Linked DNA regions of Saccharomyces cerevisiae S288C. Changing the gene in region 2 together with the main gene of any one other region gives a genetic interaction. Each region holds a gene or a part of one and is shown on either strand. Other genes may lie near its edges.

Region 1 (8,303 bases), on a different chromosome or scaffold from region 2:
GGTTACCCAAAGTATTTCTTTAGAAACTTTTTTTCAGCCGCTACACAGTGATTGCTTTGGCGTGACGCATTTCATTCCAAAAAATTTGAAGAAAGTCCACAAATTAGAAATAAAGTTAAATAAATTACAAAAATCAAAAGAACAAATTATCTTTGAGATTATTTTAGAGAAATATTTTAGAAGAGTTTCAATACACAGGCATTTGATAGCAAATCACAAAAGATTTTTCTTTTCAAAGTTGAAAAACCATCTATTATTTCAGTACAAAAAATTGGTATTTTTAACTCAATTTAGAATTTCATACTATTGCACAAAAATTCGTCTGCGCTGGAAAAAGTCAAGCATCTTTCCGTTATATTACCCTAAACTGTATGTAAATACAGAAACAATATTAGAAAGGAAATACAGAATCCTTGATAAAATAATACGCAAGGAAAAACTCATTAAATTCCAAGTAAATTCCTTGAAAGCAACTTCAGAAACCAAGCAGGCACTGCCCGACGATTTATCGTCGGGCACAGACATTTATATGGATAAGATGTTCATTACCTTCAAGTCCACATTATTGTCAAACGTTATAGGTGAGTTGCTTTCGTATAGACTACCCACCCAAAATTTAAAAGTAATAATAGGCCCCAATGTTAATGACATTATTTGGAGAAATATCCTCGATTCATCACCCCTTTGGAAAAGTGCCAAATATTTCTCGGCAAATATATTGCGAATTTTTGTGATTATAGGCTGGATTTTGCCTGTCGCGTTCCTTGGGTTAATATCACAAATACCAAATATTTCCTCACTAATACCGTTTACAAAAATAATTCATTTCCAATCTCCATTTATAAGAGAAGTGGCAAAGAATTTGATTCCAATAGTAACCTTAATAATAATAATAGAAATCGTACCCTACTTTTTCCGTTGGCTGAGTTACCTTCGAGGGTTGAAAACTGGAGCGCAAATAGAAGCTGATGTCCAGAATTGGTATTTCGTCTTTGTCTTCATTCATCTTTTCGTAGTTGTTACAATATCTTCTGGATTTTCTATAATTATTGAGAGGCTTCTTAACAATCCTGTCAGTATCCCTGCTCTCCTGGCCAACGACTTGCCTAAATGCGCAAACTTTTTCTGTTCTTTTGTTTTGATTAGGGGAATGGCTTATGCAGGCGGTAATTTGTTAAGAATAAAAGAGCTACTTTTTGAATTGTTCTACTATAAATGGAAAAGGAGTACTCCACATGCTCAATTTAAGAGGTTAAAGACATCTTTATTTTTCCAACTAGGATCTATTTATCCTATATTCTCAGTGTTGGGCTGTATTGGTATCATATACAGTGTTGTTGCTCCTATTATATTATTATTATGTTGCATCTCATTTTCGATGGTTTTCTTTTCTTTCAGTTACTTGTTCAAATACCAATATAACAAAGAGAACTATTCTGAAACGTTCGGTAAATTGTACATACAGGCCCTTATGCAATTGTACGCGGGCATTTATTTCATGGAATTTTGTTTACTCGGGCTGTTCACTCTTTTTGATCAATACACATTGTCAACTATAATGCTTGTTGTCTTTGCTCTAACAGTAATCACGCACTCCAAAATCTCCAAACAAATAAAATCGAAGCCTCAACGCATACCAACTTTGGAATACTTGTCGAATCTAACAGAGGAAAGGAAGGACCAATTCTGTCAAGAAAGTTATACTTTCCATGATATTTTCTCCATTTGTAGAAATTCGGATGAAATTTGGCTACCAAGGGACAAACTAGGAATTTCTGAAGAAGAACAATCATTTTTGGAGAAGTCGTATCACCTGAAATTCGATCTTAATATGTATTCAATGAATTTATTTGGTGATTGTCACTTGGAGAATAGCCACTTGCACTAACCAAAACTGGAACACCAAAAATGAGGCAGAGAAGATAGGAAAAAGATAGAACAAAAAATTTGTACATAAATATTTATAACTCTGTAGGCTTTTCTTCTCTCGTATTTTTACTACGTGGCCACATACTTGGTAACCTGACAAATTGGAATCTTGGTTCAACGCATCGTTCAACGAACCATTTTTTTATTTGGTATTCAATGACACTGCCGATCTTGGGAATATTTTCAAGTTTAGACCGTGAGCCAATTAGCGACTTGATTTCAAATTCCATTCTATATTCAGGAGAAAAAGAAAACATCAAAAAGTATCCTGAATTGCCCTCCATACCGTTTTCACTACTGCTACCGTTCGAAGTAGAAGCAAACTCCTCTGCATTAGTTAAAGATACGGTCAAACACGCCTGAAACCTCACAATTGACACTACTAGATTTATGGGGAGTGCGGCAATACCAGGCTTTGGATAGTTAAGTAATAGTTTTGTTTCTACTCCTAAAGTTAAGTGGTCATTTAAATCTATATCAATTTTAGCCTCTAGCTTTTTATTTCCTGAATTTGGCGAATATTGTATTCTGCAATTCGAGAAAATGGGGAAATCATCACCTGTATCCAGTTCAGTTATTTTTATGGTATCCAAATATTCAGGCAGATCGGGTGATTTTCTTCCAATAAAATCATTCAAGGAATGAAGGATATTGTCCCTGTGCCAAGCCTCACTGCGGAATTGCTGTATTATTTGGGCAACTAAAACGTTGAACCAGTCCAATGACTCTGCAGGGTGCACGTCGACATTATAATAGGTTTTCTCTAAAATAAGAGCTAGTTCTTGAAGATGTTCATTTTCTGCCTCTTCATTGAGCTCGTAGTGTTGTTTAGCACCCTTCCTAACAAGAGAAGTCAGGAATTCGCGAGATATAAAGGGATATTCTTTAAATTTTGATCTGTGACGGGAGGCTGCAGGTTTCGGATTCTTACTTTTAGATGGCTCATCACTGAATATAAAGAACTTTAGGAAAAAGATGAACAACAACACTATGCTTAGCTGTCCTACAAAAAACCCTTGAGCAAACGACCATCCAGAAAATTTGGAGGACGTTGCTAACGATCCTAACGAAGAAGGATGCAACACGCTTTGCATTTGCAAAGCTTGAATTGCATCATCGAGACCTTTGAAGCTCCCGTTTTTACTGACATTAAACTCTGAGTTGTTTGAAGTTTGCTTTAAGTCATTAGTAGTAGAACCCTTCAAATTCTCCATGATTAGTCTCTGTAAATGTTCAGGTAGCTCTTTGCTTATATAATCGTCAAACGTCATTAACGAATCCGTTTCGGTGGATTCATTCTCACTATCAGTCATTTTCAGAAAAAGGCTACAGGTATTATATTGACTCTCTCAAAGTTCTTTCATCTCATTGAGAAAATTATGAGGGGCACTTATTGTTGTAGATGATCTTTATTGGATGTTGACGGTTCTTCGGAATTGAAACGGATAGGCAGAAAGTGAAAAAATAAACTATTAAGGAAATACATGAAAAGAAGTAAACTGAAATGTATACAAGGGCAACCCGTTCCACGTTGGATTGACTCAATTGTGTCATCAGTAGGAAAATAGATTAAAGTAACCTCAAATAACGGCATAAGCAATGAAGCATAACAGGCAGATGCCAGATGAAAGCTTGGAAAACATAAAAGTGCTACTGAATCCTAAATTAGGAAAGCCAGTCAAGTCACTTACGAGTGCACAATCAAAAGCTTGCTATCATACGCTGATCAGTAATAAAAATTTGAACAAGACAAGTGATGAATACGAAAAGTTATTGGCAAACTATATCCTCCTTTGTGATGAAAAATACCTATGTAAAACCGTAATTCCAGATTCCCGATTTTGGGCTATATTGTGTGATAATTGCCAAAAGCTAAGGTCAGAAACGTTGGTAGCAAATCTCATTAGGATTTTTAATGTAGCCCTTAAATGCCAAGATTCTAATAAGAATGAAGTTATTGTGAGCATCTGCCACATCTCCAGAGAGAACTCTCAGCTCATTGGAATACTTTTACAACTTTTGTCCCAAAGACCTATTCATATACCGTTGTTTACGGACACTATACTATGCATAACCCTATTTTTAAAATGCTCACTTACATTATGTGAGACATCACTATCACACGCCGTAGAATTTGTACCCAGAATCCTCATTTTGCTATTTCAGTATAACTTTCCAGCTTCCATGTCTGAATTACTTTACATAGAAGACTTGCAACCACTAATCCTTGAAGAATTTGTACCGTTAAAGCAGAGGCTAATAAATTTTCTATCTTCGGTTAGTATTGATGATTATTCCTGTTCGCTTAAAGCTGATCTTCTTACAGCCATCAAAGATAACTCCGTATTCCAAAAAGGGTTAGAAATGGAAATGGGCGATCTTCCCAGTATAAATTTATTAAATGCGTATGATACATTCACATTCTTAAACAGTCCTAATGGGTCTTTCAAGAGACTTTACACTGAACAATTGTTGTTTGGCGAGAACGATTTCCCTCTTTATGAAGCAATATTTAAACTTTCAGACCAATTTAGAAGACTTTTCAATCTAAGTGGGAAAAAAGAGAACCAATACTCAGACTCAGAGCGTGATTTAAAATTACAAATTGCTACCGCTGTTCTCAATCGACAAACATGTTTTTACAAAACACTCGAGTTGTTTTTGAGATTTTGGATAGAATCATTAGCAAAATCGCAAAGTGATTTGGTTTCACTGTTAAATTTAGCTATTATCACTTTAAAATATGTTTGTTTGTCATCCAGTGATTTGGAAGCAGCAATACAGACGAAATCCCTTCTCAAGACCCAAGTTGTTGCACTTGACTCTATGAGATATAAATTTGCAAGAACATTACAATTAGACTCAATCAAAAAAGAACAGTATCGAACCTGGTCATCTAGTATCGCTAGCTTCGATACCATGCTATCAGGCCAGGTTCGTGATTACGTTCGTCATCAAAGACTTCTTCAATTGCAAAAGGGAACGTGGGTTTACGCAGAGAACCCACTGAATCCTGAAGCTGGCACGCCTAAAGTCTACTTCCTCATAGTTTCAGATAACCACGCAAATTTATTAGCCAGAGAATTCGAAACACAAACAAACGATTTACCTTATCTATTCGACAATAAAATTTTAACAAGTCCAGGTTCTGAGGCATTAGCTAATGGCAGAACAAAAGTTGTTGTTTTGAAACATATAACCTCTTTCAAAAGCATAGAACTTACTACACCGAGTCGTCGGACGAGCAGTAATGTTTACATCAAATTAGATGAAGCCAATGTGTACACTGGAGTTGAATTAAAAGATCGTAACGACAGGACAGTTTTGAAATTTTATTTAGACACAGAAGAGGGAAGATATATATGGCTAGACGGATTGAAATTGATATCTCCATTCCAGCATGAAGATATATCAGAAGACACGAAAGAACAAATAGACACTTTATTTGATTTGAGGAAAAATGTTCAGATGATAAATTTGAACGTTCGTCAGGACATCATAGTGCCTCCACCTGAACCAAGCGACGAGGACGAAGATGAAGAATTTTATAACTTGGAAACGTTAAAGAAAGTAACCCAAAATTTTTATTTTGATTAAGATACAAATTTGTCGTCAGACGATTTTTTTTTATTTATAACTTTTTTTTACTAGAATGGAATGTAATTTTGTAATTCTTTCCCGCAAGTAGCTTGAGTCTCCATTCAGTTCGTTTGTACTTGAAAAATCCTTTTAATATAGCATATAGCTTGCAGTTTATTAATACTCACTTCTACAGATTCAACAAAAAAAAAGGAATTTTTGACTAATCCCCTGTTTATTAGATGAATTAATGATATTTAAATACAAAGTATTAATAATATAATGACAGTGATAAGTATGTTGATATTTTATGATAATGACGATGAAAATTATTACCTACGGCTTTTGAAGCCCTTCTTCTTATTTGAATTTGTACTCTTCTGCTTTTTAAAAGTTCTTTCTTGATCTGCAATACGGTCGGTTTTGGTTTTTCTATAAGAACGTGCACCATTGCCATCTGCCTTAGCTTCTTCACGCTTTCTCTTTTTGCTGTTAGTGACTTTCTTGTTCCTTGATAAAGCACCTAATACTTTGGAATTTTTCTTATCTGATTCGCTTTGGAACCATGTCCTTCTTGGTCTTGCCTGGATTTCCTTTTTATGCTTCAACATATTTTCACCCTTTCTTAATTGCATTTCAGCCCTTAATATTTCCTTCTCCTCCTTTTCTTCCACCAGAATATCTTCAATCGTATCGTTCATGGATTCAACAAGTTTGTTTGTTTCTTCGATTTGAACCCAGTCTACGTTTCTACCAAGTGCTTTACCTTGAGTTAGGGACTTATTTTCTTCTACACTCTTTATAGCAGCACGTACAATACTTCTATCTTGAGATGATTCACCGACGAAGGTGACGGAACGACCTTCCCTACCAGCTCTGGCGGTACGACCAACTCTATGCAGGTAGATCTCATAACTCTTGGGCATATCGTAGTTGATAACAACCTCAATCTTGGGGATATCAAGACCTCTGGAGGCCAAATCCGTACAGATAAGTACAGGAACTTCCAAATTTTTGAATTTATTAACGGAATCTAAACGCTGTTCTTGGGTTAAAGAACCGTGTAATTCACCCACACTCATACCTAAAAGACCCATGATAATCCTTAACCTATGAGCAGTTTCTTTTCTAGCCACAAAAACGACAATCCTCTTTTGACCCGTTGGATCCAATTTCCTAATCAAATTAAATAACAAGGCAGGCTTCAAATGGTCTCTTTTACGAATACGAACGAATTCTTGTGTCAACTTAGTAGCAGCTTTCTTTGGAGGATCAATCATAATCCTTACTGGTTTTTTTAGAGAAAGACTAACTAAACTTTTAATTTTGGAGTTCATTGTAGCAGAAAACAATAGGTTCTGTCTATTGCTTGGTAATAGGCCCATAATTTCGTTCAGTTCATCTTGAAAACCTTCTTCTAACATTCTATCGGCTTCATCCATAACCAGAATCTCTACTGAGTCCACATTAAAACTTGCTGAGTTCCTGATATGATCAATGAATCTACCTGGGGTAGCAATGACGATGTCCGGACGAGATTTCAACATTTGTTCTTGTTGTCTCAAGTTCAAACCACCAACGGCCAGACCAAAGGTTATACCGGAGACGAAACGTGCAATTTGTTTACCAACGTCAGCGACTTGGATAGCTAACTCACGAGTGGGCAATAGAACAATAACTCTGGTGGAAGCGATTTTGGCTGGTTTATACAACAAACGCTCGATTATGGGAATCATAAACGCAGCAGTCTTACCGGAACCAGTCACAGCACCGGCAATGATGTCTTTACCCAATAAGGCAATGGGGATTGTGGCGCTTTGAATAGGGGAAGGCTTGACGTAACCCAAACTTGCAAGGCCCTTAAGAACCGGACGAGATAAAGACAAACTGTTGAAATTTTCGTACATTTGCTTTTTAGCTTCATCTCCCTCAGTTTCAGGCGCATAGAAATCGGCTTTTGCCTCTTCAGAATCGTCTTCTTCATCTATTTCGTCATCTTTGCCGCCTTTTTCTAACGTCATCTCTTCTTGTTCCTCCTCTTCCTCCTCTTCCTCTTCCTTTTCCTCCTCTTCTTCTTCTTCTTCTGACTGATTTTCGTCTCCATTGTTCATGGGAGCTCCCATACCGAACCCGTCCATTGCTAATTCCTCATCGTCGCTATCGTTTTCTTTTTCTACTTTTTCTTTCTCGGTTTCTTCTTCTTGTTTACTATCAATATGGGCCATTTTCACCAGCCCACCTTTTCTTCTAATAATCTTATCCAAGTCAACGTCCTTCTTCACAAAAGCTTCGGCATCGTCCTTATTGGACTCGCCCTCTGCTAGAAAGTTCCAGCCTTGGAAGTTCGAAGTGGTATCATCGGCGTCCAAATCAAACTTAAACCCCGCGTCCAAGTCCTCATGAACATCCTCATCGAGGTTATCCCCCTCACTAACCTTTTTCTTGTTATTCTTACCCTTCCGCTTCTTCGTAGTCTTCTTAGCCTCGACTTTTTCGTCATCAGAAGAATCTAGAATTGGAACATCGTCTTCACTGTCACTGATTGTAGGGACAAAGTCCAAATTAGAGTATTTTTTAGTTCCTACCACCATAGTATATATATAAGACGCTGTTGTAGGCACACAGCTCCAATTCGAAACCCAAGTTACCAACGTAAATACTCATACTATCTAAGCATATTCTAACTTACAATTTTCAACCTCATCTCATCGCATTTTTTGAAAATTTTTTTTCAAATCATTACCCGGATAATGTTATAACCCTACCTATCTCCTTCAAAAAAAGATAAAATGACG
Region 2 (7,081 bases):
AAGGCTCAAGCAATGATCATCTTTGTCATTGAACTAGCTTACTTCGTTTGTCTCTGTTGGATAAGACCATATTTGGACAAGAGAACTAATGTTTTCAATATTGCTATTCATTTGGTGAATTTGATCAATGCATTTTTCTTTTTGTTTTTCAGTAATTTGTTCAAGCAACCAGCAGTGGTTTCGTCAGTGATGGCGGTTATTCTGTTCGTTTTGAACGCGGTGTTTGCTCTATTCCTATTATTGTTCACTATTGTCACCTGTACACTGGCATTACTACACAGAAACCCAGATGTCCGTTACCAACCAATGAAAGATGACCGTGTGTCATTCATTCCTAAGATTCAAAATGATTTCGATGGCAAAAACAAAAATGATTCTGAACTGTTTGAATTGAGAAAAGCTGTTATGGACACCAATGAAAATGAGGAAGAAAAAATGTTCCGTGACGACACTTTCGGCAAGAACCTGAATGCAAACACAAATACAGCAAGACTCTTTGATGATGAGACTAGTTCATCCTCTTTTAAGCAAAATTCCTCTCCCTTCGATGCCTCGGAAGTAACGGAGCAACCTGTGCAACCAACCTCCGCTGTCATGGGTACGGGTGGCAGCTTCTTGTCTCCACAGTACCAACGTGCGTCATCTGCTTCTCGTACTAATCTAGCGCCGAATAATACAAGCACCTCCAGTTTAATGAAGCCTGAATCAAGTCTCTACCTGGGGAATTCCAATAAATCATATTCGCATTTTAACAACAACGGCAGCAACGAAAACGCCCGCAACAACAACCCATATTTGTAATCCAATATATACTCACATGTAACAACTTATTATATAAATATTTAAGGGCAAGGATATCCTACATTATATTTCATAGAAAACCGCTCAAAAAGGTGTATTATCTCCATTACATCCCAACACCACACATATTTCAGCGATAAAAACCTTAAATGTGAAATTCGCTTTGGCTCTGCTTCCTTAAATGTACGCAATTGCCGCTTTTTTCTGACATCTTTTTTGACGTGTAGAGAAGGAAACAGATCCTCCAGAAGGGATTTACTGTTGGCTATTTTGTGTTAGAAGCAGGTTAATAATAGATTAGGTTGCGTAAGTCATGGTCGAAAATAGTACGCAGAAGGCCCCACATGCCGGAAATGATGATAATAGCTCTACCAAGCCATATTCGGAGGCGTTTTTCTTAGGGTTCAATAACCCAACGCCTGGATTAGAAGCTGAGCACTCAAGCACATCGCCTGCCCCCGAGAACTCCGAAACACATAATAGGAAAAGAAATAGAATATTGTTTGTCTGCCAGGCTTGTAGGAAGTCAAAAACAAAGTGTGATAGAGAAAAACCTGAATGTGGTCGATGCGTCAAGCATGGGTTAAAATGTGTTTATGACGTATCAAAACAGCCAGCACCACGAATTCCGAGTAAAGACGCCATTATATCAAGGTTGGAAAAAGATATGTTTTATTGGAAAGATAAAGCTATGAAGCTACTAACAGAGAGAGAGGTGAATGAATCAGGCAAGAGATCAGCAAGTCCGATCAATACAAACAATGCTAGCGGGGACAGTCCTGATACCAAGAAGCAGCATAAAATGGAACCTATATATGAACAAAGTGGTAACGGGGATATAAACAATGGTACCAGAAATGATATTGAAATCAACTTGTATAGAAGTCATCCAACCATGATCATGAGTAAAGTCATGAAAAGAGAAGTTAAGCCGTTATCTGAAAATTATATTATAATTCAGGACTGTTTTCTAAAAATCCTGGTCACTTCAGTGTTCCTTGACACTTCAAAGAACACGATGATACCGGCATTGACGGCAAACGCGAATATTACAAGAGCCCAGCCTAGCGTAGCAAATAACCTTTTGAAATTGAAGGAAATGCTAATCAGACAGTGTCAAACCGAAGATGAAAAAAATCGTGTAAACGAATTCACTGATAGAATACTACAAAATACAAATTCAAATAGAAACTTGAAAATCGGTATGCTATTATCAATGCTTTACAATTCTGTCGGTTACCAATATCTGGAGGATCATTGCCCTCAAGGTGGCGAATATTCGGATTTATTGAGAAATTTGATCAATGAATGTGAAGCTATTTTGCCATCTTACGAAATTATTGAACGCTACAAGAACCACTTTTATGAGTACGTTTATCCAAGTCTACCTTTCATCGAATTAGAAATTTTTGAAGAATCATTAAGTCAAACAATTTTTCCGGACCCAAACAACCCCTCCAAGGTGCAAATACGTATGGGTAGCACACATTTGAGAGCTAAGGTGGAAAACTTGAGTCTTCTATTGGTTATCTTGAAACTCTCATACATGTCAATAAGGTTTTTAGATCATAGTACAGCAGACTCGAGTTTTTATCTTTCAAAGGAAATAATTGATAAATACCCAATACCGAACGATTTTATTTTATTGAGTCAAAGATGTCTAGCATCGGAAAATTGGTGTGCATGCGCTAATGAAAACATCATATCATGTTTACTATATATCTGGTCTTTTTTTGCTTTTTCTCCTGAAGAGGGTGATTTCTTTCTCGAGCACCCCACCGATGTTATCAGTAGTTTGATAATGATGCTTTCCACCTCGATTGGTCTCCACAGAGATCCTTCAGATTTCCCTCAATTGATTTCCCCGTCCACCTCAGATAAAAGAACCTTGAATCACAGAAGAATACTCTGGTTGAGTATCGTTACCGTTTGTTCGTTTGAAGCAAGTCTCAAAGGTAGACATTCTGTCTCACCGATATCTTTAATGGCCTTATTCCTAAATATTAAGGATCCTGATTCTCTGACGGTATATATGAACCGAGTTAGGGGCGATCTAAGCGATATCAATAATCACAAACTTTTGAGAATTCATAAATTTACATTCAAGAGAGCCCAGCTTGCGTTACTCCTGTCGGACTTAGATAACTTGACGATGACATACTATGGTAGTTTCCATTTGCATTCAATTGAATTCATAAGAGAAAAGATTGAGATTTTTGTGGAGGAAAACTTTCCCATAGTACCATTAAAAAGTGTCGCACAGGATAAGTCAGACCTTGATGACATGAATGTGATTTCAGAAATGAATATATTATCTTCAGAAAATTCTTCTTCATTTCACAATCGAATAATGAATAAACTATTGATGTTGAGAACTTCAATGGCCGTATTCTTGCATTTTGAAACACTTATCACTAAGGATAAAAGTATCTTCCCATTCTACAAGAAATACTTTATGGTTAGCTGTATGGATGCGTTGTCACTAATAAATTATTTCAATAAGTTTTTCAACGGAGAATATCGACACGCAATATCTTCTTTAACCAGTTTTAATGTTACAAAATTTATTCAGTTAGCACTATCCAGCACAATCTTCAGCCTATTAGGGATTATACTAAGAATAGGTTTAGCCATCCATATGTTATCTTCTGAAGTACAAAAGTTATCGGGAACGACAGATCCAAGAATAAAGGAGTTAAATACCAAAGTCGAAAAATTTAGTACCCTGCAAAGAGATCTCGAGTCTGCTTTAGAAGGTATATATTGCTCTGCTTCGGAACATTTAAGATTCACATACTTCCCCGTTTTTAAGATGTTGGCTTTATTCGATGTCATTGTACAAAGGATGAGAAAGGGTGAATTATGGCACGGCATATTTACGATGATTCAAATGGAACAAATGCATTCTAGGATAATCAAGACATTAAGCATTACCTTAGGAGTCAAACTGGACAAAAAGGATAGGCTATTAGAGGAATTGATGGCATGCAATCACGTTGCGAATTTTAGCGTTGAAGATATAGATGAGCTGAACCGTAATATCAAAAAAGAGATTCAAATTTCTTCAGGATTGAAGCCGCCTGTAAACACAATTGACTTAACCAACGGCGAACCATTCGGAAATGCTGTTCCTACCTTCACAAAGACATGGAGTTCATCCTTAGATAATTTAGAAAAACTATCATCGGCCGCTGCAGTTGGTCAGAGCTTGGACTACAACAGTGGTTTACGTCAGGGTCCTTTGGCGGGTGGTGGTTCAAAAGAGCAAACGCCAATAGCCGGGATGAATAACTTGAACAATTCAATCAATGCTACACCAATTGTCGATAACTCATCTGGATCACAACTTCCTAATGGTTTCGATAGAGGCCAAGCGAATAATACTCCTTTTCCAGGTTATTTTGGAGGTTTGGATTTATTTGATTATGACTTTTTGTTTGGCAATGACTTTGCTTAAAAATTTTCTTTCCAAACTCCTACCTATTCATTTCATCAATTAATTAATATTATATAGCCACGAATTTATGAAACTGACCGATAATATAAAGTGCTCAATATATATATATATGTATATAACGGTTAACGTAAGAAGAGCTCTTCCCTCTTAAACATTCGAAAAATGATTGAACCAGTATATTTGGTCGAGCAAGACTTTCTCCTTCGCATATTTTACGGCAGGTATGGATATATCGCCTCTTGCTGCAAACCCGTGAGCCACACCACTGAAGAGGTCTAACTGGTAAGTAGCGTGATTATCCTTTAATTTTTCCTCCGTTAAGTGTCTTAAGTTTGCCGGAAAGATGTGATCCTCTTCCGCTGCTGAAATCAATATTGGTTTCTTGCTATCAATTGCTTCAATTTCCTCGATGCTGACGAAAGATGGATGTGCAATGGCTGCAGCATTGGCAAGACCCCCGTCGCCACTAATGTGTTGGACGGCAAACTTTGCACCAAAACAGTAACCCACAACGCCAATAAACTTTGGGTCATATTCAAGTTTTAACAACTTCATGAATCCATCAACAATTTTCTTGGTGACTTCAGGAGAATGTCTTTGAAACCAGGCATCACGATCAATTGGTTTGTCCGATGAGATAGCATCGCCGAATAAAATATCGGGAACAAAGACCATGTACCCAGCACTAGCAAATTTGTCGGCCGTTAATAAAACATTGTTGAATTTATTGCCATACACATCTGTCAAGATAACTATAACTTTTTCCTTGGGAGATGTAGAGCCTGCTGCATAAGTATCTAAACCGAAGATTTCTTCACGACGACCCTTGGGTGTTCCATCGTGACAAACTCCTTCAAAGCAACACTTGCCAGGTTGATTAGATGCCATTTGATTGAAATAATTTTGTTCTGCTGTAGTTAGACGTAGTGGAAAACTTTAAGTCTACTGAGTCTTGAGACCTTATCACCCTTTGAAGGTTTCTTGCAAATGAGCGTGGTTTGGCATTTTTTATCGGAAAGAAAAAAAGGGCTCCGCCTTAGGCCAGATATCATAGAAATGCAACACTTCCCTAATATAGAAATTTGGGCATTAATTATTTTGAGAATTTTGATGATTTGAATAATTTCATTAACGTAAAGGAACATAGTGCTACGAATCCAACAGTGGACCCAAAAATGAGAGCCGTTTGTCTGTAGTCGACATCTTTTGCTGCTGTTTCTTCTGGCAATCCCGGAGTGTTTTTGCCAGGATCAAGAGCAGCTTCTGTGATTTTAATAAACAATTCATTAAGGGAACTTAGCCATCTGGATGATATGTGCAGTGGGTGGTTCACAAATAGCTCGTCTGCCAGTTCATCTGGTTGGATTTGACACCTTTGTTGCTGCTTATCCAAATCTGCCTTAGAAGCTACAAATACCAACGGTAGATCTTGTAAATGTGTGAATTTGTCTAGAAGCGAAACTAAGTAGGAGAATGATTCTGGGTCGCTGGAATCGTATGTTAGACAGATTACGTCACATTCTTTTAACTTATCCTTATTCTCTAGTATGGCGTATTCCTGTTCTCCAAGTTCTTGCAAAATCAAATAGTACTGTTTCCCACCTTTGAGTTCTAAACTATTGACTGCAATTCTTGGTTTGATTGTCGGAGAATACTCCTCCGAGAAAGATCTGCCCAAGAAGGCCTCTAGCAAAGAGCTTTTGCCGCAACATGGCTTTCCAATGACAAAGCAATTGAACACTTTTCTGTCATTGATATTGGATCTGTAAAGTTTCCCGGAACGGCGTCTCATTTTCCTTGGCTTGGTTACTTGTAGGGCTAGTCTTGCATCTTCCTGAAAGCCAAAATACACCAAGTAAGCGGTAGTTGTGCTATAGTTCAAGAAAGTCGTCATACTCCATTGTGCTAGCCAGCCTTGTAAGGTGATGCAACCCTTGTTGTTTACGACAGTGGAGAAGGGGAAATTCGTTGAGGTCCATAGTTTAGGCAGCCCTGGTGTGCACTTAAATAGACGATGTAATTCTTGATTATTCAAACCACCATCATTGTCGATATCAAACTTCAAAAAAATATCTACAAGAAATCTGTAGCCCTTGGGGCTCAATTCCACACTGGAAGTGTCAGGGACAACCAACCTCGGATGGAGAATTTTGTCATTAATACACAAGGAATCTGTGTAATGGAAAGTTCTTAGGATAGCCCATGTAGTTTCGTGTCTCCCCCTTTCAGCGTATATTTTGTTCAGTACAAGGAAACCATCTTTGGTGATGCCTTTTCCCGGTACGTATAGCTTGCGGTTAATGTACTCTTGATCGTGCTTGGAAATATCCAAAAGCAAATCTTTAATAAAATTCAGTTCGTTTACATCGATACTCTTATTGAAGCACTTTTTTTGTAAGCCCAAGATTTCGTTGTCATCTAAATATGAGTCCTGGTTTAAATCGCTTAAAAGAAAAATTCTTTTTAAAGCCATGACAGCCAATGGCTTTAGTTCACCTACCATGGCATCAAATAAAGGTGATATTGGGTGTGTTATAGCCCTTTGGCAAAGATAAAACGCTTGGTTAAGATCAAACTGTGTCTTGGCACTTGTCTTAATGCAAGTGTCGATTTCTTTAAACTCCATTAATATTGGGATAAATTCTTCATCCTCCACTTTGGTATCGATATCATCATCACTGTTCTCTGACACGACCATTGCATTGGCATTAACATTCGATATGGAATCACATTTATTTTTGCAGAGAATGACAGGAATATTCAACCCCAGGGATCTGAAATGAGGCAACCAAAAGAGAGAAACATGGTCATACGATTCGTGAT
Region 3 (8,267 bases), on a different chromosome or scaffold from region 2:
TTCTTTTTTTTTTTTTCTCACTAAAGCGTTGTCCTAGAGATGTAAAAAGAGAAGGAAATGAAATTTTTACTGGAAATGTTACTACTATTACACAGGTTTATTTAGAAAGTACAAACGTGTCAGCGTATTTAGGGTGTCAATGCAACAATATTGAAACTATCATTTGTCTTCAGAATAGCGGCAATACCACCATCTCCGCATACCACGTCCATATCAGTGAAATCGGCAGTGTCGCTTTGCAAACAGAGGGCGCTCTCCTCGTCTTTAGTCCAATTTTTTGTTTTCTTGTCAAATTTGTATATCGTCAGCGAATTGCTCTCGTTTGAGTATGCAATCATATTCTTTCCAGAGTCGTCAATGTCATAGGTAACGGTGCCCGTCTTGAATTCTGGGATTGTGTAAGTTGGATACGCTAGCGTGCCGACATCCTTTCTTAGGTCAAAGCAAACCACAGTTTGGTCACACTCTACTACCATCCAGTACCCATTGTCTGCAAATTTAACCTCTTTTATCTTGGCTTCTTCATCTACGGGGAATCTAGAGCTTGCCTGGTCAGGTGATGACAAGTTGTAAACGTCTAATATACCGTCCGGAGAGTAAAGGGCTAATAATAATGAATCCTTATGTAGGACACCGCTGCTGTACTCAACATCTGATTTAGCAGAATGAACAATATACTGGGAATCATCCTCGTAGGATTGAAATCCTATGGTTCCTCTATTATCCGCCCAGATGAAGTACTCTGTGTTGACCTCGTTGTGACCATACATATATATAATCTCATTGGCGGAATCTACCTCTATTTCTCTGAGGACTTTGTTTGTTTTTGAGTCCAATATAGTTATTTGGTTACCTGGATATAGTAGTAGCAAACGATTACAAGGCCCTCTGGAAATAATAGCTGGATGCTCTCCCCCGGTACGGGGATTTGGTGTAGTTATTGTGGTAATCGTTTTCGAATCTTTTAATTGGGTAAAATGTAAAGCACCATCCTCACAGCGACACATGCACACCCATTTATCATAGTACATAGATTTGTTAAGCTCTTTATATGGGAATGTTTTGATGTTACGGGAGTAATTTTGTGCCTGTAATAGCTCCAAATTTTTTAAAATCGGCCATTTGGGTGCTTTGAGCTTGCCCCTCGCTACAAAGTCTCTAGAAGATTGTAACAGCCCTTGTAAAAATTCTTCTCTCGTAATAGCTACCGCTTGCTGTGAGGATTTGGGTAAATCCTTCGAATCTTCGTTTTTTTCCATCAATAGTTGCGCAGCGACCAACTTTGCAGCATCTCTTTCGTACATTACAGTCGACAGTTTTTTCGTTAAACTATCTAGAGTTGATCGTAACTTAAAGTTTTCGAGCATTATAGCATCCCATTCATTCTGTAAACTTGTCAACAGATTCGGAATCGAATAATTCGCTTTTAACGTAGCAGAGTTTGTAGACTCTGTTAGTGAGGCTTGTTGCGCACTAGGTACGATTTCCACTATTTCTTCGATGCTTAAGGGCTCATTTGTTATCGGATCATTCCCCGTATCTTTAACATACTGTTCAAGGAGCGACTTTTCAAAAATAGTCCTGGATTTAGGTGATAGAACTGGCCTTCTAGGAACTTTCCCACTAATAGCACAAAGCATTGTTCCCTAGTTGGCTTTCTTGGCTATGTTTTGGTCTTTAATATTTCTTGGAAAGTTTGCATCTTTCTAAAATTGCCCTTACGAATTTTTCACCGCTGCTACCCGAAAAAGTACGAAATTTATCAACATGAAATTTATTCCTGCCAAGTCATCGAGTGCTCTGCGCCTAAGGCTTAGGTTGCATTTAAGTTGTCTTAATTCACGCTTATAGTGCAGGTAGTATAGGTTCCCCACTCCTGATCTTTCCCTTCTGAAATAAGGAAAGACTGCAGTTTAGTTTGGCAGAGAGAAGAAGATAATCATTTCTATTATATTCTACCGCTATGGTGATAGATTCCAAACAGGATCTACCTCAATATACCAAAGATTCAGGTTCAGAATCGGACTCAGACTCAAGTAATAATTTCATTGTGGAATCTCCGTCAATTCCATCTTCAAAAAGTGCAACCGTAGTTCTCAATAGTGAAGAGTATGAGGACGACGAAGGTGATGACTTGAACGGGCTGGATGCTGAATTGATCGATAATATAACGTATGAAGGAGATGAAGATGAAACTATGTTTGTGGGGTTGAAAGAAAAACAGAAGTTACATTTATCTGGTGTTTTCCGGCTGCAAGTGGTGAAAGGAGGTATTGTCTACAACAATGTACACTATAACGCTTCGAGAGAAATTTTAACCTTCTGGCACCCGTTATCACAGTCCATACCTACTATAGATTTTTCGCACTTTGCAGGCTGGCAAGACACTTTTTTTATGCCGAGAAACAACAGGTTTAAAATTAGAGATGAAGAATTCAAATCATTTCCATGTGTTCTTCGCGTTTTTAATTCTAATCATACGGGCTTGTTAGAAGCAGGTCATTTATATCGGGATGTTAATTATCTATGGAAACCTAAAGAACCTTACTTTCCATTAAACGAGAGAACAACGTATCATTTATTACATGAGTCAGACCGAATTCAATCTTTATCCGTGCCGGGATATTGGTCAACTCCGTTAGAGAAGTTATATTTGAGTCACAAGAACGCTGCGTATGATACAAGAATCATGGTGATTGGTGGTAAAAACTCTGGGAAGTCTACATTCTTGAGGCTTTTATTGGAAAAATTTACGCAAGATATACGAGATTCTACTACGAGCCAGGAAGAATTGGTATACCTGGATTTAGATCCTGGTCAACCTGAATACTCACTACCTGATTCAATATCCCTGAATAAGATTCTTTCCAGCCCTATTTCTCTCGGACAACATCTCTGCCAAGGTTCAAATTTCCAAACTTTGTTACAGTTCTACGCTGGCTCCTCTTCCCCGCAGGACGAGCCCACATCATACCTGAACTGCGCTGATAAACTTATAGACCATTTGGAAGAGCAAGCCTTCTTCGGAACGTCATTGCTTAATCTACCTGGGTGGATAAAAGGATTCGGGATGCAGATTTTAAATCATATAATAAGGAAATATAAGCCCACTCACTTATTGTTTTTGGAAACAGCTAATTCGAAAAGACACCTGGATGAACTAACAATTCCACAGAGTTTTTCCACATCACTACGAGATGCATATGCACCTGAAGTTGTTCGCGTTCCAGCCCATAGTCTGAACCACACCTTATCTTCTAGGTTCCATGCATCACAACTGAGAACATTCAAAATACTGGCACTGTTTCATAAAATAACTCAATTTGATTATGATTTTGCGCCTCTTTTAAAATCTGCACCTTTGCAAATTTCATATGGCAAAGGTAAAAGCGGTATTAAAGGCATTCAATTTCCTATGGAATTCCAGGATCTGAATCCTCAAGATATCAAGTCCGCATTGGAAGGTACTGTCATTGGGATATATACATATTCTGGAGAAGACTCACTAGAGGTGAAATCCTTGAATACCTTTCCCATCCTACAATCGTGTACTTCTTCTTCTAAAAATTTCATAACTCTGGGGCTGATACACTCTATTGACACCTCCCAGCAAATAATGAACATTTACGTGCCACCTTGCCATACCCAGATTTTAGATAAACAACCTGAGGATGCTCAATGGATAATAGTAAGAAATAAGACGGAAACTCCTTTTTGTGACTTTCTTCCATCCCCCCGCACAATTACATGGGATGATAATATACAAATACCGTTCGCAACTTTTGAAAGAAGGAAAAAATTGGAACATGTGTGGAAAGTTCGTAAGAACGTCATGAGACGTGGCCAATTCATGAAAAGATAGAAAGAAAAGGTAATCGTACATTTTTTAATAGTGAAAGATAGAGGATACACAAAAATCATGCAAAGTTTTATATATTTGTTATGTATACTCATATTCCTTCAATATCTAAGTCATACTAACTTCTAGGGACTTTACCAAAATATTATTTATAAATTTATTGTTTCATTTCTTCCGCATCCTTCATCTCCTCCGTTAAACCCATTTTCTTATTTAATCTATCATATTTCAGTCTATCTTTATCGCTCACAGAGGGTTTAATCTTTCTTAATGCACTTCGGAAGTCAGACATGGTCACAATAATTTCTTCGCCAGATACGCCAACCGATAGATCCTCAAATTCCTTGTCTAAGTCATTATCAAGAACAGATTGTATTTCTTCGCTCTGAAAAAACTTCCTTTTTAGAGCCAAGACTGAACTCTCCCTGACTAAAGCAGCCAAGTCAGCGCCTGAAAAATTGTTGCACTTCTCATTTCTGATAATTTCTTCAAAATCAACATCGCTACTCAGAGGTGTTCCGTGTGATTTGGTCAAAGTTTTGATAATATCTAGTTTTTCCTCAGTATTAGGTAACTCAATAAACAAACTCTTATCCAATCTGCCCGGTCTTAACATAGCAGGATCAATCATATCAGGTCTATTAGTGGCGCCAATCACAAAAATTCCCCTTCTATCGTTCAGCCCATCTAATTCCGTTAACAAAGTGTTGACGACTCTTGAGGAGGATTCGGACAAAGAAGTATCTCTTCTTGGCACCAAAGCGTCCAGTTCATCAAAAAATATAACACACGGTACAGACGCCCTTGCTCTAGTAAAAACTTGTCTGATGGACCTTTCTGATTCACCAACGTATTTATTTAATAATTCAGGACCTTTGATTGATATGAAATTTGCACGAGATTCATTGGCAACAGCTTTTGCTAGTAACGTTTTACCACAACCTGGTGGTCCCCACAATAAAACACCACCAGGGGCGCTAATTCCCACTTTTTCATAAAGCTCTGGTCTCTTGATGGGTTGCACAATAGCCATATTTAATTCAAGTCTAACTCTTTGCAATGCGCCTACATTAGCCCAAGTAACATCAGGTACCGTAGCGAACCCTTCTCTCTTTGCTGTTGGTTGAATTGTTGGCAACGCTTTCAAAAAATCTTCGTACTTAATCGATAATAATGATAACTGCTCTCCTGATAAAGGCTCAGGATAATTACGAATAAATTGTTGGACTACGGATAAAGGCAACGGATCGATCATATTCGCAGTGTTCTTCAGGCTAGATTCATCTCCGTTTGCTGTTTCATCAATTTCCATGTTATCTTCTGAACTGTCCGTTGCCGTAGTTGGTGTGGATTTTATATTAGCATAGGTTTGGAAAATTCTTTTAATAGCGCATGTACCGGCAGCAGTAACTAAAGCCTTTAAATCAGCGCCAACAAAGCCTGGGGTTAATTTTGCCAATTTGGCAAAATCGATAGCACCATCAATTTTTAGGTTATCAGACATTTTCTTTAAAATATGTAACCTTGAGACTTCATTCGGGACATTCAGGCATATTTCTCTATCGAATCTACCTGCTCTTCTCAATGCTGCATCCAAAGAGTCAGGTCTATTCGTGGCACCTATGATAATAACAGGTTTTCCATTTGTCTTTTCCATCGTTAATTCATCCATTGAGGTCAATAATTGGGCAACTATTCTTCTCTCCATTTCTCTTTGGGCTCCTCCATCACGTTTTGGTGTAATGGCATCTATTTCATCAAAGAAAACAAGACATGGTGCCAAGCTTCTCGCTTCATCAAACAAATCCCTAATCTTTTTCTCGCTTTCCCCAGACATACCACTTACGACTGAAGGTGCAGAAATAGATATAAATGGGACTTGTAATTCTCCAGCTAACGCATTAGCAATCGACGTCTTACCGCAACCCGGTGGGCCATGCAACAGAACACCTCTAGGTGGTTCGACACCCGTGGATAAAAATATCTCTGGATGAAGAATGGGTAGACCTATTAGTTCCATAAGTTGTGCAACGACATCATCCATACCACCTAAGGATTTCAGAGACGAATTAGGTGGAGATCTATCTTCCTTGATTTTTTGACGTTTTACCTTACATGTACCTTCTTTGGATCTTTTTTTAGATTTTTTAACCTCTTCTGTCTTAGGATCATCAGTTTCTGTTATAGACTCGGAAACAGATCCAGATTTGGACCACGTGCTAGTTATGCGTTTGTTCATCTCATTTGTGTCTCGCTCAATCATCATATTTTTCTTAGCTAGTTCTTCTTCCAAGCTTGGTTTCTCTTCCTCTTCGTTGTTGTAACCTGGGTAAGAACCAAATTCTTCCAATTCTGATTCAATCACGTCTTTTAGCATGCGGTCAATTGTCTTTTGTAAGACAACTTTCTTAACTCTTTGAAGTGATAAATCTTTAGTCAAACAAAAGGTAAAAATCTCACCTGCTGTTAAATCTTTAGCGAAAAACATGGATTCAAATATATCCTCATCTTCTTCACCCTCGTTGTTCTCGCCCTCTTCTCCTTGGGATTCTTGTCTCAGAGACCTTTTTCTGTCCAAAGTTTTTTCTTCCAAGAGACGATAGATAAGATCGACGATCTTGTTATCTAGAGAACTTGTTAATGAGTTCTTTTTCGACTTTACTTTAACCATTATTCCAGCCTTCCCACCACGTAGCTATTATCGGCCCTAATGATCTTTTATTCTAACTGACTCGCAGATTAATTCACACATCGGTTGTTAATCATTGTTTGAATTTCCAAAATATGCGATGAGCTGAATGAAAAATTTTGGAACCTGTCACTATCGACGAACATCGAAGTTTGCCATGACAACCATATATGAAGAAAGCTTATGAGACTAGCTCGAGTATATCATACGTATGCATGTTAATCGCAGTTAAGCGGATAACACAATGCGTAAGCCTTCTATTACGATAACAACAGCAAAAGCTATTATAACTCCAGACTATACTCTTATTAAATCGCATTCTAAATACCAACTTCCTTCACGTTTTCAAAAGCTAGATGCAGACTCACCTGAGAGAAGTACAGTTGTTAAGCTATTTTACCGCCGATTTATGAGGCTTAAGCCTTTCATATCGAATGTGAAAATGGTTAAAGATACTTACAGGGATTATGTTCGATATAAGTTTATGAAAGAAAACTACGAACTCAAACGATACTTGGTATTCAATCCTGATGGCTTGAGGTCGAAAATCAATCTTGAGCTTCTCAGCAACACGAAATGTTGTGAAAGGATACTCCCCGTGACTGAGATGCAAAGAACCTTGGAATTTGTTCTGAAGAGCTGTTCATACTTGCCCGAAACAAAAGTTCAAAAGTGGGATATTGCAAGGGACAACACATATTGCAGGCAAATTTTAAAGAACCTTTTAACAATGCAATATGAAAAGTACAGATCGATTTTGCATAGAGGAATAGGCCATGATGAGCTTGACGTCAAATTCTCTCATTTGAAAACTACTTCTAGTCCGCTAACTAAGCTAAATAAAACCGAAAAGAAAAAGATTCCGCTTTTCAAAGTATTTAGTGATTTCGATACAACATTGATATATCTCAATGAGACATTAGGTACAAGGTTATAAAGATCATTATCGTAAAAGAGGAGCGGAGCGGAGCTTTTTAGTATGTATGGTAAAATATCAATCAAATACTGTAATAGATGCGGATATGCGCAATGACATATTTTGTGGTGTGCATATCCATTGAAAAGGTGCGTAGAACGTTACAATACTACTGAACTTTTTTCCTTCTCATTTTCTGCCATTTTGATATTTATGCCTATTATTGGTTTGAGCTTTATTAGAGTTGGCATAATTATAATCGTACTCGTATGTATATCCGTATCCATACCCATATCCGTTGTAATAAGTGTTTGGTATATATCCTTTGATGGCTTGGGCTCCTCCTACCGTCGTTATAACAGGCATTTTGTGGCGTTGTGGTGAGGCTCCTGATTGGCTGGTATTATCGATGGTCGTACGACTTTTGGCATTATTCATTGATCTGAAATTGCCATTGGTATTGCTATTACTGGTGTTACTCTTGCTGGAGGCAGACCCTAGAACAAATTTTTTAATTATTTTTTTAAATATTATTTTCGTCTTTTGTGTTTCCAAATAATTGGATAGTAATTCGATTGCTTTTGTTAGAGTATTCTCATTAGTATCCTTTTCAAAAGTAAAAGTGATAAGGTCCTTCTCAAAAGTTACAATTATGTTCATAATTTGCAAAAATGGAACAACAATTAGGTTATAAAATTCGTATTCTTTATTGGGATCTATCTCTTGATCTATTTTGAACTCGTATTCATAACCAAACGCACTATTAACCAATTCGTTAGCGGCTCTTGATGCATTCTCATCAT
Region 4 (6,980 bases), on a different chromosome or scaffold from region 2:
TTACGTCTAGGACGAGTTAAAGGGTTTTTCAATTCATCAAAATTGTCCATGCTAAAGTCGCCAATGATAGAAATACCATATCTGTGTTTTAAATTAAATTTCATGGAAATAAGAATAGTAACAATTACCACCAATAATATATCTGGAAAAAATATTGCGCTCTTGTGATATTTCATTAATTTCCTCTTTAGTAGACGCGTTAAAAAGAGGACAATCAAGCAACATCCGCTGAATATTGCCGTTGGTATATGGTATTGTGCTGGTGCATAATCAATGAGGAAAAGTATTTTCTCGAAAGGGGTATGGTAGTGTTGAGGCAAGCTTACTAAAAATTTGTCTAGCTTTAATTCAGAAATCAAAGAGTTGATTATCATAACCAGTCCTACTGAACTTATGAAACCTCGTAGAAGTGCCTTGCTAAGAACATTTCCAAGGAAACCAAATCTGGAAATACCAGAAAAAAGTAGGATAGTGCCACTAACAAATGTTATTACTGTTGAAATATCAATTAGAGAAACATTTTCTTTATGTAGTGTTATAGATTCGACTGCTTGTCCCACGACCAAGGAAATTGCACTTTCGGGCCCAACTATCATCTGAGGAACAGAACCTAAAATACCATAGACAAATGGGCTAATAGCCAAAGAATATAGTCCGCATAAAGGTGGGACATGTGCAATTGAAGTTGTGTACGATAGCGCAAGTGGTATCTGAAATGACGCTACTGAGATACCTGCGATTACGTCGCCCCACAGTTTATTGAAAGTGTACTCAGGAAGCCATGAAAAGCAGGGCAGGTAATAAGGTAAAGTTTCAAACACTGTATTCTCATCAACGCTATCATTATTGTTCGTATTACTTGTATTACTTGTATTATTTGTATTATTTGTATTATTGGTGCATCCTGATCTTGAGTTGTTGGGTGGGGGTACCCCAGTAGTTGAATTAGATGCTGCAATATAGGTCCTGCCTCGATTGGATGAATCCTTATCATAATCAAAATTGTCCGAGAAAGTGTCACGCTGGTCGACTGATCTTTTGAATCTTGGTGGAGCGGTAGAGGAATATGACATCCTTCCACGCCCCAATAACGAATTATTTGATGTCATCCTATAATTGTTTCCGTAAGTTCTTGGAAATCACTAGGAAGTTTGTGGAGTTATTGTTCTCCTCATATTCTCCCATCTGGAAGAACTCTATTATTCCTTTGCCATTTCTCGTAGTCTTTTATATTTAGTCCGCTTTACACCGAAAAGGTCATTTTTAAAAAGGCAAGAGAACTAGGAAAAGTAAAACGTGCCCCCTTCAAAGCGAAGAGATGAATATATTTAGAAGTTAAGAATTTATTTATTTATATTTACCAAGTTTTTCAGTTAGTTCAGGGACTATTTTGTAAAGATCCCCTTGCAACCCATAGTCAGCGACATTAAATATAGGGGCATCAGGATCATTGTTAATGGCAACGATAACTTTCGAATCCTTCATTCCCGCTAAATGCTGAACTGCACCAGAAACGCCAATGGCTATATACAAATTTGGTGCGACTACCTTACCAGTCTGACCGATTTGTAGAGAATTATCACATAGTCCATTATCAACAGAAGCTCTTGTGGCACCTATAGCAGCGTGCAAAACATCTGCTAGCGGCGATAATAGCTTCTCAAATGTCTCCTTATCCTTGAGTGCCCTTCCACCAGTTACCACGTTCTGTGCAGAAGTAAGTTCAGGCCTTTCACTCTTGGTAAGAATAGTTTTAACCCAGGTAACATTTAAGTCACAAGGAGGAATATCAGTTCTCTTCTCAATGGTAACAGAATCCATACTACCCTCTGCAATTGGTGGAAAAGCTGATGCCCTAATAATCAACAGTTTTTTTTCTGCCTGGCATTCTATTGTAGAAATAATGTTACCTGCATAAATTGGCCTTATAAAGGTCTTAGGATCTTTGATTACAGTAACCTCACAAACAGGTTGGACGTCCAAGAGCGCACCCACCCGAGGTAAAACACTTTTTCCAACAGAGGAGTTTGAGACAACAAAATGTGAATAGTCGCCGCCTTTTAATAGTTTCACTAATAACGGAGTTAGTTGTTCGGGAAGACAGGTATCTAATTTTGAATCTTCAAATATGACAAGCTTTTCTAAATTGCTGCATGAATATGAAGATTTTAGCGCCTCAGCAGTTTTTTCAGCTTTGCTACCTGTGATTACAGCTGTGATAGGGTTAGACAACTTTTGTGCAGCAGCCAATAAACTCAATGATGACCTTGAAACAGAGCCATCTTTTGAGCTTTCAATGAAAGCTAAAGTGGAGGCGTAATTTTTCTGGAGGAACTTTGCCTTGCTAGCTCTAGGCAAGACAGCAGCCAATGATTTAAACATAGAAATTAACAATTAGCTGCTTTACCGTTAATGGTAGTAAATTATATCACTAGATTTTGTTTGTTGATTATTTTAATTGTTTTTAATTTTTAGTTAGTAGATTTTCGTTCGAGGCCCTAAAAATGTACCGAAAAGTCATAATAAACGGGCGGAGTCACATCGTAAGAGTAACATATACAATATGCGAGCAGACTTTGTCCATTAAGCCAAGTAACAACAAAAGAACCAAAAAAAGGAAAGTATCTCGTCTCTGTTGAGTAATTCTTATATCTTGCAAGATTTAATTCTCACTACTAATACGGAACTCAATCAAAGTGGCTTAATCCCAAGACATGCATTGAATACGGTATCATTGGCTGTTGACAGTTTAAGAAAAGTAGTTGTCACGTTCCTGAGGTTACTGGGGACAAGGGAAAGTAGATACTCGTCTTACGAAATTGGATATAGTTACTCTCTAATGCTCAATCCATGTAAAGCATGAATCATCTCAACAGAAAAATCTGGGAGAGCATATTTGCAACAAAAGAATCCAAATATCAGTATATAATTATATAAGTGAGCTAAGAAGTGAACAAAAGAAAAGGAAGAGGGGAAAAATTTTGGCTGGACTTGTAGAACGATAGAACGAAAGAGTCCAAGGGGGAAGTAATAAAGTTATTGAACGAAACAACAAAAATTCGATGGAGATATTAACAAATGCATAGCAGCGCAGCTAACCGACCCGAAGCTAGTACCAACGAATTTTTCAACTATTCTGTGTTGATTGTCTCCTTTGCAACACCGAGCTCTTCAGTATTCTCAGCTGAAAGTTATTATTGAAATCACGTTGGGGACTTTCATGATCTAGTGGTCTTGGTGAGTAGCATTTAATATTTTGACCATTGAAAGGGCATCTCTCAATTGGAGAAAGGCCACTCTTAGGGATAGGCGTTTTAACAATCTGTTTATGGGATGAATGATATATTTTTGAGGATGGATTCACGATACTGATATGTTTCCCGTCCGCATTATTCGGATATGTAGTGCCTTCTTTCGATAAAATAGATGCCAATCCTGGCGTATGCTTTGTTTCGATGACGGAGCTTACCAATTTTTCACTTCGTATTTTCGATGAGTTCTTATTTTTACATTTGACGTTCAATATTCCGACATACGTCTCTCTTTCTGAAATGTTGGAACTCTGTGGCCTTGGATTTGGTGTTTTTTCACCCGAAAAATTGTTGATAACTGCACTTTTCTTTGAGGTACTACTATTTATATCTTCCTGCTCTTTTGTTCCCCGCTTAAGATGTTTTGGATGGCAAGTTTCAATAAACTGCGGTTTTATTCCTGCTTCTGAAGAGGTGCCCGAGATGTGAACCTCATTTCCACCACTACCAGTATAAGTAAAGTAGTCCGTACCTTCTTTTCCAAAGTCATTTGAGGAATATACCAAAAAAACACCTTCCTTTACTTGAAAGCGATCCACGAATGGGAAAGTATCCCCTTCCGAAGTCACATCTGAGGGAACAAATTTTAAAACATATGAGATGTTGTTTTCATCCACGGCATCATAAAATTTACAGCAATTATTCTCATACATCAAGTTTTTGAGAGTGTAGTCATGCAATCCTAAATCTTTGAAATGCATCTGATCTATTTGTTTCTGTATTTCTCTTTTCTTGAGTTATATAAACGGAATGATTAGTAGTTTGGCAGAATTTATAGCAAGTATTAAATAGTTGAATACCTCAATATTCTCCATAATAAACGCCATATCGTACATAAAGGCTAAAACAAGAATGCCTGATACCGTTCTGCTTTTTGTTTTATCTTTCCCTATATTTTCTTTCCCTTTTGATGCTTTACGTAATTTTTCCCGGCATATGTGAGCTTCCTAATAGACTCTATTTTTATTTTTCCCTTTCAAAGTGCGAGAGAAATACACACAACCAGCCTACGCTTATTTTCACCCATACCGTCATACGCCATATGATATATAATGTGAAACAAACGCGGGGAAGAGCGCGACACGACAGCTTAGCAGGGGCATTCCACGCAACACCTGAAACTTTAAGTAAAACTGTTTCTGCGAGGATATCTTGGCAAAACAAACACTAACTTTCGAACTAAATATAGTGATCGTGGTCATAAATTAATAAAAAGAGGATAAATAGAGATAAAAGAGATATGTGACTAAGTTGCTGGCAATATGTATTATTTATACTTTTATCTTCTTGAAGCGTATTCAAAATTGCGTTTCGGTAAAGCTCTCACCAGATGTACTTAAAGTTTGGGATGAAGCACCGTTTTGGACAACTTTCATTAAGGAATCAACATATTCTGCACCAGACCATAGCTGGTGTGTCATGATATCACAATTAGTCTCCTTTTCCCGTTTTTGCACTTTTTCGACGTATGCTTTCATTCCGTCACTTTGGAAGCTATTGGCTAATTCCCAGAATGATACTCCATCTGAATGCAGACCGGCAAGGGAAACCAGTTGCAACGTGAAGCCTTCTTTTGCCAAGTCCCATACGAAGGATTTTAATGCCTTATCATCAAAGCCGTGAGCGCTCCAATTGAAACTAGGAGATAAGTTATATACTAGCTTGGTAGCTGGAAGTTGTTTATGAATTTTTCTTGAAAATGAGCGTGCCTGCTCCAGGTCAGGAGTTTTCGTTTCCAGCCAAATCATATCAGAATATGGGGCAAACACCAAAGATCTTCTAATAGCTGCTTCAATACAACCGTTAAACATGTAATATCCCTCTTTGGTCCTCGGAGCATCCCAGTCAAATATAATTTTCTTTAGTGGTGTCACTTCTTGAGCTAAAAGTTTCATTTCTCTTAAGCTTAGGTATGCTCTACCCAGCTTGTTTACCATAAGGTCTTCCTTCTTTTCTTTATAGCTTTCAAACTCGCTTGCCGTAAACTGCTTTTCTAAGGCCTCTTCAAATGTAAACAGCTCATTTTCATGGTACCATTCTTTTTCCATGTCAGCAATGGCGGAGTTGGGAATTTTTTTGTCCTCCATCTCAATCAATTTTTCGCTCCAAGGCACCACGTTATCTCTTATTATACCCCTAATGAATTCGTGGTCTCTCGGATCACTGCTTGAACTCAACAGCTTACCATTACAGGAATCTGTTCTTGCAATAACCAAATTTTCTGTCCCCATGATATCCCATTGAAACCTGGTGGAAATCAATCTCATAAGATGTGTTGCTGTGGGCACCAAAACAGCCCCACTTAGATGGCCACACCTTTTGCCTCCCACCATCTGATCTTCAAGATGAATACCAGCAGCCCCTTTCTCCGCAAACAACTTAGCAACTTTCATTACAGTCGTTGGGCCACCGTGACCCATGTCTGCGTCCGCGATAATTGGTTTTAAATAATCAACAGGAGTAGAACCTTTGATGGAGGCCTCCAAGAAAGCCTTTCGATCGTGCAATTGCTGCGCCTTGAATATTCTCTCCACTTGATTCGGCACAGTATCGTATGGATAATCGCCAAAATCCGGCGATACTTCATTTGTAGATCCAACTAATGTGGAAGAACAAGCCCAACCAGATATGTAAGCAACTTTGATATTTCTGCAACGGGCCAACTGACTCATTTGTACAGGATCGATAACTCCCAACGTGTGAAGTGGAGTACCATTCTTGAAATTCTCTTCTAGTAAGTTGAACAGCTTTCGAGCTTGATAAGATGAAGGATAAATTGAAGTATTAGCAGGAAGGCTGCCCCGATGCTTTACAACATCCGTAGCTGAGTATGGACGACTGATATTCTTAAATCTGGCTGATTCCCACCATTCTTCTACTTTACTTGATTCCGAGAACACGAAGTCTTTAGTACTGCTTGCCCCGTTGAAAGATCTTCGCAGTGACTTGTCTGATGACAAAACCAGCTTCTTCAGTGTTCCCGTAGTTTTTCTATTGAAAGTTTTGTTGTTAATCATTGTAATCATCGGCGAAATACTAGAAAAGTCGAAATCGATATTATTATCGGCGCTGTAGCTTCTTTAGGCCACTAGTACTTTTATAAGCTCTTCAACCGCAACAAAAGTTAAGAAATAAGAGAGTTATTCTTAAGCCCATTTTTTACATTATATAGTGTACGTATGATATCGCTAGCATGATGTTAGTGTTTCGGCGCTTCTAATTGAAGAGCATATCCTTTTCTTCTCCAATGCACTTTTATTTCTTTCCCCGCAAGCATATTCGGCCCGGATCTCGGACTTGGATCATTAACCTGAGGACAGCGGCTAGTAACCGCTGTCGCTCATATGGAAGGAGAAAATAAAAATTCAGGCATATACAATTATTTCGTCCTCTCTTCTCAGTTTAAGATCTTTAGTTACCGCATCTGCAACAGGATATTCGTTCAACTTGACCATCCCTTTCGTAGCCAAATTCAGTAAGGATAGGAAGGCACTGGCGGCTATCTGTCTGCTGACACCTCTTTCTACATCATCAAAGTTAGCTCCCGTTTGAGCTTCGCCCATGCGGCTTGGGATGATGTCAACCAACAGCATCTTTCTCTTGAAAGGCGGATTGGAGCGCGTTGTTCTTCCGACAACAATTGATCTTTCTTTGATGTAATCGTAGAAT

Evidence for each region.
Region 1: mutations in AIM2 (region 2) and LMO1 together harm fitness more than expected from each alone (negative genetic interaction), as found in Saccharomyces cerevisiae (one large-scale study listed by BioGRID).
Region 3: mutations in AIM2 (region 2) and GRC3 together harm fitness more than expected from each alone (negative genetic interaction), as found in Saccharomyces cerevisiae (one large-scale study listed by BioGRID).
Region 4: mutations in AIM2 (region 2) and HAL1 together harm fitness more than expected from each alone (negative genetic interaction), as found in Saccharomyces cerevisiae (one large-scale study listed by BioGRID).

The regions. Positions count from the first base shown.
Region 1 is NC_001144.5:131,525-139,827, reverse strand, and holds LMO1 (Lmo1p), read left to right. Parts: upstream 1-3,528; coding exon 3,529-5,526; downstream 5,527-8,303. Other genes in the region: SPO75 (Spo75p), read left to right, coding at 1-1,888; ERMES complex subunit MMM1, read right to left, coding at 1,962-3,242; YLL006W-A (uncharacterized protein), read right to left, coding at 3,307-3,483; DRS1 (putative ATP-dependent RNA helicase), read right to left, coding at 5,841-8,099. UniProt on the Saccharomyces cerevisiae protein: Forms a transiant heterodimeric complex with DCK1, that acts as a guanine nucleotide exchange factor (GEF) for the small GTPase RHO5. DCK1, LMO1 and RHO5 relocate to mitochondria upon oxidative stress and trigger cell death.
Region 2 is NC_001133.9:47,450-54,530, forward strand, and holds AIM2 (protein AIM2), read right to left. Parts: upstream 5,147-7,081; coding exon 4,406-5,146; downstream 1-4,405. Other genes in the region: flavin adenine dinucleotide transporter FLC2, read left to right, coding at 1-801; oleate-activated transcription factor OAF1, read left to right, coding at 1,115-4,258; ERMES complex Ca(2+)-binding regulatory GTPase GEM1, read right to left, coding at 5,352-7,081.
Region 3 is NC_001144.5:66,617-74,883, forward strand, and holds GRC3 (polynucleotide 5'-hydroxyl-kinase), read left to right. Parts: upstream 1-1,963; coding exon 1,964-3,862; downstream 3,863-8,267. Other genes in the region: E3 ubiquitin-protein ligase PRP19, read right to left, coding at 129-1,640; putative AAA family ATPase RIX7, read right to left, coding at 4,017-6,530; IRC19 (Irc19p), read left to right, coding at 6,793-7,485; YLL032C (uncharacterized protein), read right to left, coding at 7,654-8,267. UniProt on the Saccharomyces cerevisiae protein: Polynucleotide 5'-kinase involved in rRNA processing. Required for the efficient termination by RNA polymerase I and the processing of the IST2 pre-rRNA internal transcribed spacer localized between the 5.8S and 25S rRNAs.
Region 4 is NC_001148.4:562,660-569,639, forward strand, and holds HAL1 (Hal1p), read right to left. Parts: upstream 4,013-6,980; coding exon 3,128-4,012; downstream 1-3,127. Other genes in the region: YPR003C (uncharacterized protein), read right to left, coding at 1-1,109; AIM45 (Aim45p), read right to left, coding at 1,348-2,382; methylisocitrate lyase ICL2, read right to left, coding at 4,610-6,337; REC8 (Rec8p), read right to left, coding at 6,677-6,980. UniProt on the Saccharomyces cerevisiae protein: Involved in salt tolerance.